Linked DNA regions of Medicago truncatula. Each later gene encodes a partner of the first gene's protein in a complex. Links are inferred from orthologs where the notes say so. Each region holds a gene or a part of one and is shown in the gene's direction. Other genes may lie near its edges.

The links.
Region 2: eukaryotic translation initiation factor 3 subunit H (region 1) and eukaryotic translation initiation factor 3 subunit A share a complex: the UniProt entries of both Arabidopsis thaliana proteins name them as parts of the eukaryotic translation initiation factor 3 (eIF-3) complex. The link is inferred for Medicago truncatula from reciprocal best matches to the Arabidopsis thaliana genes TIF3H1 and EIF3A.
Region 3: eukaryotic translation initiation factor 3 subunit H (region 1) and eukaryotic translation initiation factor 3 subunit K share a complex: the UniProt entries of both Arabidopsis thaliana proteins name them as parts of the eukaryotic translation initiation factor 3 (eIF-3) complex. The link is inferred for Medicago truncatula from reciprocal best matches to the Arabidopsis thaliana genes TIF3H1 and EIF3K.

Annotation. Positions count from the first base shown.
Region 1 is NC_053048.1:7,408,180-7,411,935, forward strand, and holds the start of eukaryotic translation initiation factor 3 subunit H, read left to right. Parts: upstream 1-934; 5' UTR 935-1,083; coding exon 1,084-1,096; intron 1,097-1,192; coding exon 1,193-1,272; intron 1,273-1,874; coding exon 1,875-1,991; intron 1,992-2,089; coding exon 2,090-2,193; intron 2,194-2,337; coding exon 2,338-2,404; intron 2,405-3,085; coding exon 3,086-3,219; intron 3,220-3,302; coding exon 3,303-3,351; intron 3,352-3,756. UniProt on the Arabidopsis thaliana protein: Component of the eukaryotic translation initiation factor 3 (eIF-3) complex, which is involved in protein synthesis of a specialized repertoire of mRNAs and, together with other initiation factors, stimulates binding of mRNA and methionyl-tRNAi to the 40S ribosome.
Region 2 is NC_053048.1:47,003,743-47,007,498, reverse strand, and holds the start of eukaryotic translation initiation factor 3 subunit A, read left to right. Parts: upstream 1-1,240; 5' UTR 1,241-1,402; intron 1,403-2,181; 5' UTR 2,182-2,208; coding exon 2,209-2,254; intron 2,255-2,365; coding exon 2,366-2,847; intron 2,848-3,030; coding exon 3,031-3,246; intron 3,247-3,331; coding exon 3,332-3,700; intron 3,701-3,756. UniProt on the Arabidopsis thaliana protein: RNA-binding component of the eukaryotic translation initiation factor 3 (eIF-3) complex, which is involved in protein synthesis of a specialized repertoire of mRNAs and, together with other initiation factors, stimulates binding of mRNA and methionyl-tRNAi to the 40S ribosome.
Region 3 is NC_053045.1:59,750,922-59,754,677, reverse strand, and holds eukaryotic translation initiation factor 3 subunit K, read left to right. Parts: upstream 1-791; 5' UTR 792-884; coding exon 885-1,016; intron 1,017-1,113; coding exon 1,114-1,170; intron 1,171-1,275; coding exon 1,276-1,326; intron 1,327-1,683; coding exon 1,684-1,746; intron 1,747-2,248; coding exon 2,249-2,299; intron 2,300-2,371; coding exon 2,372-2,438; intron 2,439-2,797; coding exon 2,798-2,880; intron 2,881-3,368; coding exon 3,369-3,572; 3' UTR 3,573-3,749; downstream 3,750-3,756. UniProt on the Arabidopsis thaliana protein: Component of the eukaryotic translation initiation factor 3 (eIF-3) complex, which is involved in protein synthesis of a specialized repertoire of mRNAs and, together with other initiation factors, stimulates binding of mRNA and methionyl-tRNAi to the 40S ribosome.

The DNA of each region.
Region 1 (3,756 bases):
CATTTAACATGTGTATGTGAGTTATTTGGATATTAAAATGTCACATGTATCTACCAAAAAAAAAAATGTCACATGTATTTTTTTTAATGAAACTTGTTATGTTTAAAAGATTAACAATACAAATAAAATGTAACATAAACATGAGTTAAAAAAGAAAGATAAACCTTTTTTAAGGTGAAAGATAAACTTAAAAGCACATAAAATATCAAACTCAAAGCATTGCTGATGTAATTGTCAAATTACTAGTTTCTTTTTCTTTATCCGTACTTATTTATGAAAATATCAAACTTGATTTTGGACTGATTTTTATCTTTAAATTATACATTTCATTTAAGTTATTCTAGTTACATTTTTTTCTTTTCTATAATATTTTTTAAATTGTTAATTAAAAGAAAGATTTAAATTTCATTATAATAAGAACAATTTCACTTCAATAAAAATAATATAAGTTAAATATTTTTTTAGTGTGATATATTCTTGAAAATTCGTCAAATATAATAAAATAAAGGGTCTCTGAAAAAAAGGGTTAAATGGTTTTTACCCCTAACATTTGAGTGAATTTTGATTTATCTTAAAAAAATTTGGAATTCCAACCTTGTAATTTAAATATTATTTGGTTTTTGAATCTTAAAGGTACTTTCGCCTCTATAATTTAAGCGAATTTTGTTTACCCATGGCATGTATTCCATTTTGTATGATCAAAAGTCACATATACTCAAAACAAGAAAAAATTCGAATTACAAAGTTTAAATCAATTTTTTTTTTCCATTATGTGATTTAAGTTACGTGGAGAATAATTTAATCAATTTTTCTTTTGTGGTGTCCGGATTTGAACACCAAATATAAATGTTTTAATCGGTTTGTATGGAAGTGAACTTTTTTTATGCGATAACTGTTATAAAATAAGATTTTTTTTTTTTTTTTTTTTGGGTTTTATTAGTGGGTTATTTGAGCCCAATACACCACTCACCAGAAACTCCTCTCTTTCTCCGGCGTTAGGGTTTCTTCTTCCTGCAACTTCCGACCCATTTTCCTCATTCCCGATCGATTTTCACAGCGTTTTTTCCGCTTCAGATTCCAATCATGGCTACTACAAGTAATCTCACAACAATCTCCATTTTTTTTTTCCCGATTATTTACTCGATTTTTTCTCTTCACTAATTTGATTCCATTCTTGATTCGTTTTTCGCAGCTGCAACCAGGTCTTTTCTTCAAGCTGTTGCAACGGAAGAGGTTGCAACTCCTCTTAGAGTTGTTCAGATGGAAGGATTGGTATTAATTCTACTCTCTGTACTCTTTAATTGCTTAATTTATAGTGATGCACAATTCTGTTATACTGTTATCAAAATTGTGAAAAATGTTGTCTTTATTTGGGGTTTTGATGGGTTTTATTGTTTGGAATTATGGGTCTCTGTTTGATTTTGCATCTGGGTTATCTACATTTGTCTTGCTTTGTAATTTATATGTTTATGTTAGGTGTGTATGTACCTCTTCCCTGGTTTATGTTAGGCCGTGACCATGTTTGGTTAAATACCTTAATTGAACACTTATATGTGTAAGCTAATTCTATAACAAAAAGATAAAAACTGTTTTCATAAGCTATTAAAGAGAGCCCATGGAATAGCTGAAAACAACTTATGGACATGTCATGACAGCTGTTTCCATAAGCTCACTCAAACAATCTCACAAATGCTTATGCCAATAGATAAACTCTAATAAGTCAATCCAAACAGGACCCATTTCATGTAGCCTTGTAAGTTTGTAAAGTATTTGAAGCATGGCCTCTTGTTGCATGGAATTCTTCAATTAGTTTGTGTTATGAAGATAATTCTCAAACCATTCTGGTCTTGATGGTGTTATCTTTTGGTTAACAGGTCATCCTGAAGATAATTAAGCATTGCAAGGATCACTCACCTTCTTTAGTCACTGGACAACTTCTTGGATTGGATGTTGGCAGTGTTCTTGAAGTTACTAACTGCTTCCCTTTTCCGGTATGGTATCACTTTTTTTTTTATTTTGTTTCTCAGTTTTGAAATTAGCTAACATTGACTCATTAAGTTTTCCTCATATCTATTTCTAAAATTTGCAGATGAGGGAAGAGGACGAGGAAATTGAAGCTGATGGTGCCAATTACCAGCTTGAAATGATGAGGTGCTTGAGAGAGGTCAATGTGGACAATAATACTGTTGGATGGTACGTATGATTTAAGTACCACTTCACATATGTATGAGTCTTTCTAACTTCAGTGGTTTGATAATCACGATTGGATTTGGTTCAAATTTCAATGTGTTATTTTTAATCACTTATCTAACATGATTGATAATTCTCTGAATCTAGGTACCAGTCTACATTGCTTGGCTCCTATCAAACTGTGGAGCTGATTGAAACCTTTATGAATTACCAGGTAATAGTTCTTGATTTTTTTTTGCATATTTTTCACTTAAGCCGGAGTTTGTGGATTTGTATTCTTAAATGCTCCTGTAGTTTACTATTTAATGTGAATGTACTGAATATATTCTTTTTTTACGCTTCTCTAAGTTATTCAATCTTGGTCAGATGAGCCATTACTCAAAGGTTATTGCACAGTATGTTGCATAATATCTGTGAAACTATAATTTAAGAATGTCCAATAGGCCAAACAAATATGCGGTATGCACCACCGAAGATTATAGCATTTTATTGTCTACTTATAATGATATTAAGGATGTGGGTCATTCGTGATCGATACAATCAGATATTAGGATTATTTGTTGGATTCAAGTTGCCTCTAACAATTAACTGATAATTTTACACATGCTTATTGCATTGTTCTGAGGCAGAAATTTGTGCTAGTGAAAATGTAGGAAGTTGATAAGAATAGATAGTTATATGAACAAAAGTATACTTGTGCATAATAACCTGATGATGAGAATTTCATGCTGCTTCCGCTGTCTAGTTTTTTTTTTTTTTAAAGTTTATACTTTTCATAAATGTGTGACAATGGTGATTTTGTCATATTCAATGCAGTTCTTGCTGAAGTAATCTTTTAACAATTTAATAATCAGGTAAATGACTGTTTCTTTCAAACCTATTAATGTTTTTTCAGGAGAATATTAGACGCTGTGTTTGCATAATATATGACCCATCCAGGGCTGATCAAGGGGTCCTAGCTCTGAAGGCTTTGAAGCTTTCAGACTCATTCATGGAACTCTATCGCAGCAATAATTTCACTGGCGAAAAGTATGTGTTTTCTTCTGGAAGATGTAATGTTTTCTTTAAGTTGAATGATTTGCTTTATTAATTTCTGTCCTATGAAATACTAGATTGAGGGAGAAGAACTTATCATGGGTGGATATCTTCGAGGAAATTCCCGTAAGCGCTCTGGAACTTTGCTGTAACCTTTTGAGTATTTGATCAAATAATCTTTTTATTGATAAATTTGTATTTTATTTAATTCTTTAAATTTATAATGTGTAAGTGTATCTAAATCATTTCATTTAGCTGATGAAAATATGAAGTGATCAAAACACATTCATCATGGTGGATTGCAGTATAAAGAATCTTGGTCACATTTGTTAATGCATCAATTAAGAATGAACTTTACATGTAACTGCTAATAATATCAATTAGACTACAGAATTGGCCAAATAATCTTTCTATTGATAAATTTTTATTTTATTTAATTGTTGTAATTTAGAATGTGTAGGCATTTCTATATCATTTTATTAAGCTGATGAAAATATGAATAAATCAAAACATATTCATCATGGTGGGTTG
Region 2 (3,756 bases), about 40 Mb from region 1:
CGATTCTTCAAACAAGCACACTACCACCTAAGGATTTTGTATAATATTGGTCCTATATTAACTTGACATTTTTAAAAAATTCTATATATAATTTCACATGAATGCACATTTCCAATTTCTCACATGTGAATGATTCCACAAGAGTAAGAGAAGTTAGTTCATTCCAATAAACTTTGATTTATATCCAAAAATATTTTTCTCAACCTTACAATAAATATGAACATAATAATTCCCTATTAATACATTTTCAAGAATGTTTTATTAAACTTGAAACAAACATCCACGAGAGAAATCACTTGCCATGTGATAACCTCCAATTTTCGGAAGTTGGAGAAAATAATCTAACAACACTAGAGTGCATTAGTTAGAGGATAGAAAATGTGGACGAAGCTACATATATTTGTTTTGGGGCAGTCGCCACCCCCAAATACAAGAAATTTATGACAAATATATACCGAAACTCATACTCGTCCCCCTAAAGAAATAAGAATGTTACTCCTGTGAAACAGGATTAGTTGAACTACAATTACATGCATCACTCTAGTACTTTTCAATACACTCTAATTTCAATTCCTTTCCACGTCACTTGGTACATATATATACAAGTATTCTATCCAGTGCCTCACATTTAGTCATCTTCTTATAATGATATTAATTTTTGTGTATTGCTTAATAGAAAGAAAAAAAATTCATTACATTCGCCTCTTTTGAAATTAGTAGTATTCTTTTTGTTTGAGAGGGTAAAATAAGGCATCTTATTCATGTTAGCAAAAGAAAAAAATACATTATTTAAGTTAAAAAATATACGATCAGACTTTATGTGATTTATTATCATGTTACGTTCTCATAACTCCCAAAGCTTTTTTTCTTCAGAAATCAGAAATTTAAAACAAAAGTGATTAATTGATTTCAAACCAAGCAAATGACTCGACATTACATGAATTATTTTCGCCCCCTCTAGCAAAAATTTCTGGCTCCATCCTGAATGTGAATATTTCGGTTTTGATATTAATATTTTTTCAGTTTCTACATCATTAATGAGTAAAAAAAAATCTACGTCTTAATGATGAGTCAAAACCAAAGTAATATTTGTTTCTTTTTTACGATAAACTTCAATATTTGTTATTTCATACTATTTATTTTCCTGGGTTAAAAAATACATAACATTTTGAAGAGGCCAAACCCGACCCAATTCAATTTTCTTAGGCCCATAATAAGCTTTTACCATTAAAACCCTAACGCAACAAAACCGATAAGCAGCCGCTGAGCTTTTGCGCACTTGCATCCAGTTTGAGAAGAAGAAGAAGAAGACGCACTCAACTCTCAATTTCTTCGTAACAAAGCAAAAGCTGGACGGAAACGAAACCACTGTTTTTCATCGACAACGACAAACCGTTACGAAGTACGTTCAGATTTTCCTTTTTTTTTTTTCTTTCGATTTTCTTTCCACTCTCGACGATGCGATTCCGGCGCGTTTCCCGGCCGTTATGAACGACGGTGCGCGGGAAATTCCTTTTGAGAAGAGATCCACTCCGCAACGCAATTCTGAGATTGTGCGATTTGCGATATAAACTGATTCAATTATCGTTATTTTTGTATTCCAATAATACCAGTTTTATTGTTAATGGTTAATTTGAATCAGCTAATTAGATGTAGATGATTCACTTGATTTTCAGTTTATGATTATCATCGGTTTAGTGTGATTCTAATTTACAATTCCGCGAGATTTGACTATTGTAGAGAATTTTGATATGAAATTGTGTTTAACTGTTATTATTGTTTTTTTTTTTTTTATTTTGATTATCGCTATTTTCAGTTAATCTGCTCAGCTAATTATATTACACGAAGATGATGGCTTAGCATGATTCTTATTATGAATATCATCACCTTATCGTGATTGTAATTTACAATCTTTTGGCGTTTTTTCCTAGAGAATTTTCATATGAATATCTGTTTGATTGTTATTTTCGCTTAAATTTCTGCTACATTTAGTGGCAATTTCACTTGATGTCTTAGTTTATGAATGACATTGGTTTAACGTGATTCAAATCTATAATCTTGCGAGATTTACAATTTTTCTAGATAATTCTGATGTGAATTTGTGTTTTACAGTTGTTTTTGGATTACATTTTGTTTCATTATTATTTTTTAATTTTCATTATCACTCTCTCTTATTTACAGGGAGTTGAATTTTTGTGAATTTGCAATATGACGTCATTTTTGAAGCCTGAGAATGCTCTCAAAAGGGCAGAAGGTTTGTTCAGAAGATGACTATTTAGTTTCTATTTTTCTATTCTTCGTGTTCTTAGCTTGTCATTTGTTTTAGAGAATTATGCAATTGAATCACTTAAAATTTGATTTACAGAGTTGATCAATGTCGGGCAGAAGCAGGATGCTCTTCAGACTCTGCACGACCTGATCACTTCGAAAAGATATCGCGCATGGCAGAAAACACTGGAGAGAATTATGTTTAAGTATGTCGAGCTTTGTGTTGACATGAGGAAAGGCCGATTTGCTAAGGATGGCCTCATTCAGTATCGTATAATATGTCAGCAAGTGAATGTTAGCTCACTGGAGGAGGTGATCAAGCACTTCATGCATCTGTCAACAGAGAAAGCTGAACAAGCACGTAGTCAGGCTCAGGCTTTGGAAGAAGCCCTTGATGTGGATGACCTGGAGGCTGATAAAAGGCCAGAGGATTTGATGCTGAGCTATGTTAGTGGCGAGAAAGGAAAGGATAGATCTGATCGGGAGCTTGTTACGCCATGGTTTAAATTTCTATGGGAAACTTACAGGACAGTGCTTGAAATATTGCGGAACAACTCCAAATTGGAAGCCTTATATGCTGTAAGTATTCCTGATAAATAGAAATTAATTGCTTGTCATTAGGGCTATATGTTGTTGTTGCCCATTAACTTATTCTTCTTTTTTATTTCATATCATTCTACGTTTTATAGTTAAAAAACAATAATATGCAAGGCAGATTTACTTTTATGTCAAACTTATAGTCGATTCTATTGCCATATGCAGATGACAGCCCATCGAGCTTTCCAGTTTTGTAAGCAGTATAAGCGAACAACAGAATTTCGCAGACTCTGTGAAATTATCAGAAATCATTTGGCTAATCTTAACAAATATCGGGACCAACGAGACCGGCCTGACCTTTCTGCTCCTGAAAGCTTGCAATTGTATCTTGATACAAGATTTGAGCAGCTGAAAATTGCCACTGAACTTGAACTCTGGCAGGTTGGCAGCTTCTCATTTTTCCTTAAATCTTCACAAGGTGTTTATTTCATTGATGTTGGCAGACCTGATTTTTTGTTGCATGCAGGAAGCCTTCAGATCTGTTGAAGATATTCATGGATTAATGTGCATGGTCAAGAAAACACCTAAACCATCCTTGATGACTGTTTACTATGTCAAGTTGACAGAAATATTTTGGAAATCTTCAAGTCATTTATATCATGCTTATGCATGGTTTAAGCTCTTTTTGTTACAGAAAAGCTTCAACAAAAATCTTGGTCAAAAGGATTTGCAATTAATAGCTTCATCTGTTGTTCTAGCTGCACTCTCGGTGCCTCCTCATGATCGCACTCATGGTGCATCTCATTTAGAACTAGAGCATGAAAAAGAGCGAAATTTGAGGATGGCTAATCTCATAGGCTTTAATCTTGAAACTAAGCCTGATAGCAGAGAAGTGGTATTTAACTTTCCCTCATTTGCACTCCCAGTAGTGTATAGATATATGATTTGCTA
Region 3 (3,756 bases), on another chromosome or scaffold:
TCTTTGACTTGGTCAAAATCAAAGGGGTTCTTCAAAATGCAATTTCATGTTAAATTTTTTCATGATTTTTTTTTAGACGTGTTTAGGAAAATACGGTTTTTCACATAAAATTAGAATTATCTGACAATAGATAAATTAAGTATAAATTTTAAAAGTGCTAATAATTCAAAAATCAGAAGAATAAAAGCTTCAACCTAAAAATCAAATTTTAAGCTTAATTTTTGCAAAAATATCTATAAAAGATATAGCAAGGGTAAGCAAAGTTAATATTTCCTTATAAAAAAGTTAATATTGTAAAATAACTTGTGATTTTAAGCTTCTTTTTTTTTATACCATTAATTAATAATGGGTAATATTGTAATATAACTTGTGATTTCCTTCTTCAATACAAAATTAATTATTTTTTTAGTCTATTTAAAATCACGTTAAAATAACTTATAATTTTGATATCCAACTCAATGATCGATTAATTCGAGAAATCTAATTCTACTGTCTACTTGCAGGCTTCTTTTAAAGTCATGACAAAACTCAATGTGGACCGATCCATCGTAATTAACACAAATAATCAAACTTAAAAGAACGCACGTTGTTGTTCTATGTCAACAAGAGAGCAAGATAAACGCAAATTTAAACGAGTTATAATTTAAAGGAGGCGAAATATTTATCTACAATATTAAATTAAAACATTATATTTTTTTTAAAATATATATAAACTATAAAGGACGAAAAAACATTTTTGGTTAAAGAAAAAGGAGCAATAATATATTTAACTTTTCCTTGTGAATCGCGTTGAGGTAACTGGTAAGATAGCGAAGTACTAGGGTTTAGCGCATCAACTGAGAGAGAGAGAGAGAGAGAGAGAGAGAGAGAGAGAGAGTTTCGAAATGGGAAGAGAAGCAGCAGCAGCAGCAGAGAAAGGACAGGGAGGAACTGCTTACACTGTCGAACAGCTCGTTGCATTCAATCGTTACAATCCTGATATTCTTCCAGATCTCGAAAACTATGTCAATGATCAGGTAACCTTTCTTTTTTATCATTCATATCACTAAATTAGGGTTTATACAATTCCAATTAACGATTTTCTATCCTTTTTTTTTATTATTATTTCTTCAGGTTTCATCGCAAACTTACAGCCTCGAATCAAATCTCTGCCTTCTTCGCCTCTACCAGGTATCCATTTTCTTATTAATCGTCATTTTCAGATTATTGCTTGATGACAATTATAAAGGTTGATTGCAAGTAATTGTTTGTTTGTTTATTTATTTATTATTGCAGTTTGAATCTGAGAAAATGAGTTCTCAGATTGTAGCTCGCATATTGGTTAAGGTATTCAATTCTATTGTTTTTTTTTTTATTGCTTATTACTTGTGAACGAAAAATCATATGCCTAGGGGCCTATTTGAATTGACTTATTATGAAAACAGCTTATTACAATATCGTTCGTAAGATGTTTTCAGCTTATTTTCATAAATTCTTCAAGATAGCTTATGAAAATAGCTTATAGCTTATATCAAAACAATTTAACTTTATTTTATCTTTTGCTATATAAATAGCTTGAACACAAGTGCTTATCATAATAAGCACTTGTGTTGTAAGCCTCAAATAAGGTGTTTATCTAAACAGAGCCAAGATAGTTGATTGATGTTATCACTTGGTAAAATATTTGGTTTTGTTTTTCAACAGGCTCTCATGGCCATGCCGGCTCCAGATTTCAGCCTGTGTCTCTTTTTGATTCCAGAACGTGTGGTATGGTTCTTACAAAGTATTCTTTTCTTTGTAGTTGTTTTTCTTGTTCTCATGCATCATTTATTGGATATTTGAATGATTCAGTCACTCTTGTTAGATGCCTTTGATTGAGAAGGACCTAACAATCAATTTTAATTTTATGAAATTGACTGTCAATCTTTAGTATTACATAGGATTTCGGGGGGTTGGGTAGCTCAACTGGTTTTAGCCAAGGGTTAAAGAACATGGTTCAAACCTTTGCAAAGGAGAGAAAAATACTAATATAACAACTAACGTGCTGACATTTCCTCTAAAAAAAATTAAATACTGACATTTGTCTATAAAAAAAATTACATAGGGTTTCTATGTGTCTGGTATTCATCTGGGTTTTATAAATTTTCTATTTGATTTTGAGAATTGTGTAACTGTATTACTGATCTATTCATTTCTTTCTTATTAAGCAGTACCCTGTGGCGTCTTGTTTTCTTTTAGTGTAATAATTTTTGTTTCCTATGAATAATAGCAAATGGAGGAGCAGTTCAAGACACTGATTGTTCTGTCTCACTATTTAGAGGTATGCATCAATTAGTTGCCATGACTTAAGCAGTTCTTTGAAATCATAAGTTAATATTCTTATTATCTTCAGACTGGAAGGTTTCGTCAGTTCTGGGATGAAGCATCGAAAAGTCGTCATATAGTTGAAGCTGTGCCAGGTGATTATACATTATATTCATTCATGATTGATACTGATTTAATTTTGCTATATCTTGTTAATTGAGTCGTGACCCTGGGAAGGCTTGTGGTTACAAATATCTTATATATGACAAGCATTTCAAGATAGAGCTTTATCATACGCTCATCACGGATATATTATTGGGAAATAATAGAGCTGTACTGCTACAATATCATATATATGTTGGACATTGATTTTCTTAAATTTATTACTTATAATAGAGCTGCACTGCTACAATGTTTTATATACGTCAGACATTTCAAGATAGAGCTTTAGCTTATAGGTTCAACTTTGTTAATGCTTGCTTTTATGCTAGCTTACTTCAGAAATTTATTGCAGGATTTGAGCAGGCAATCCAAGGCTATGCGATTCATGTTCTATCCTTGACTTACCAAAAGATTCCCAGAACTGTGCTTGCTGAGGTATGCTTTTAGTTTTGTCCATTTAAATATTGGTTCGTTTATTACTGAAAAATAGTTTGTGTGGCTTAGTCTCTGCTAGTTCAAAGTACATTACATTAATTCTCCAAAACCTAGTTTAACTCGGGTTTGATGAATGAACTCATACTGATATAATACAACACTTCTAGATTCACGATTCATTAAGTCTCCAAAACCTAGTTTAACTCAGGTTTGATGAATGAACTCGTACATGATACAATACAACACTTCTAGATTCACAATACAACACTATTGTTCTGTTTATTCCTTTGGGGTTAAATGATTCTTGAAAACTTCGGCGGTTAGTTATTTGAATTCTTCTCACTGTTTGTCAAGTACAAGAGTGTTGGTTTCTGTAGAAATTGTTTTTATTTTGAAGACTTGTACGGATCTAATAGATATCAGTTGATTTCTCATATTACTTTGAAGCATATTAACAAGATCATTTATTTTTTGTTAAACTTGAATAGGCTATCAATGTAGAAGGTTTATCCTTGGACAAATTCCTTGAACACCAAGTAGAAAACTCTGGTTGGGTTATTGAGAAAAGCCAGGGGAAGGGTCAACTCATCGTCCTTCCGAGAAATGAATTTAATGATCCAATTTTGAAGAAAAACACTGCAGATAGTGTACCATTGGAGCACGTTACCCGCATCTTTCCTATTCTTAGCTGATTTAATATGGGGGACTGTATTTTCTTTCCAGAAAATGTGCGAATTTGTGATTAGTTGAAGCGATATTTTGCTGACTCCCATCCCATTGGATGCTTCAGTTTGAGAATTCGTGAACAGCTATTGTAGTTTACTCTTGACTTTTTGCATTAATGTTTGGAATTTAATTTGCTTTACCTATCTCTTA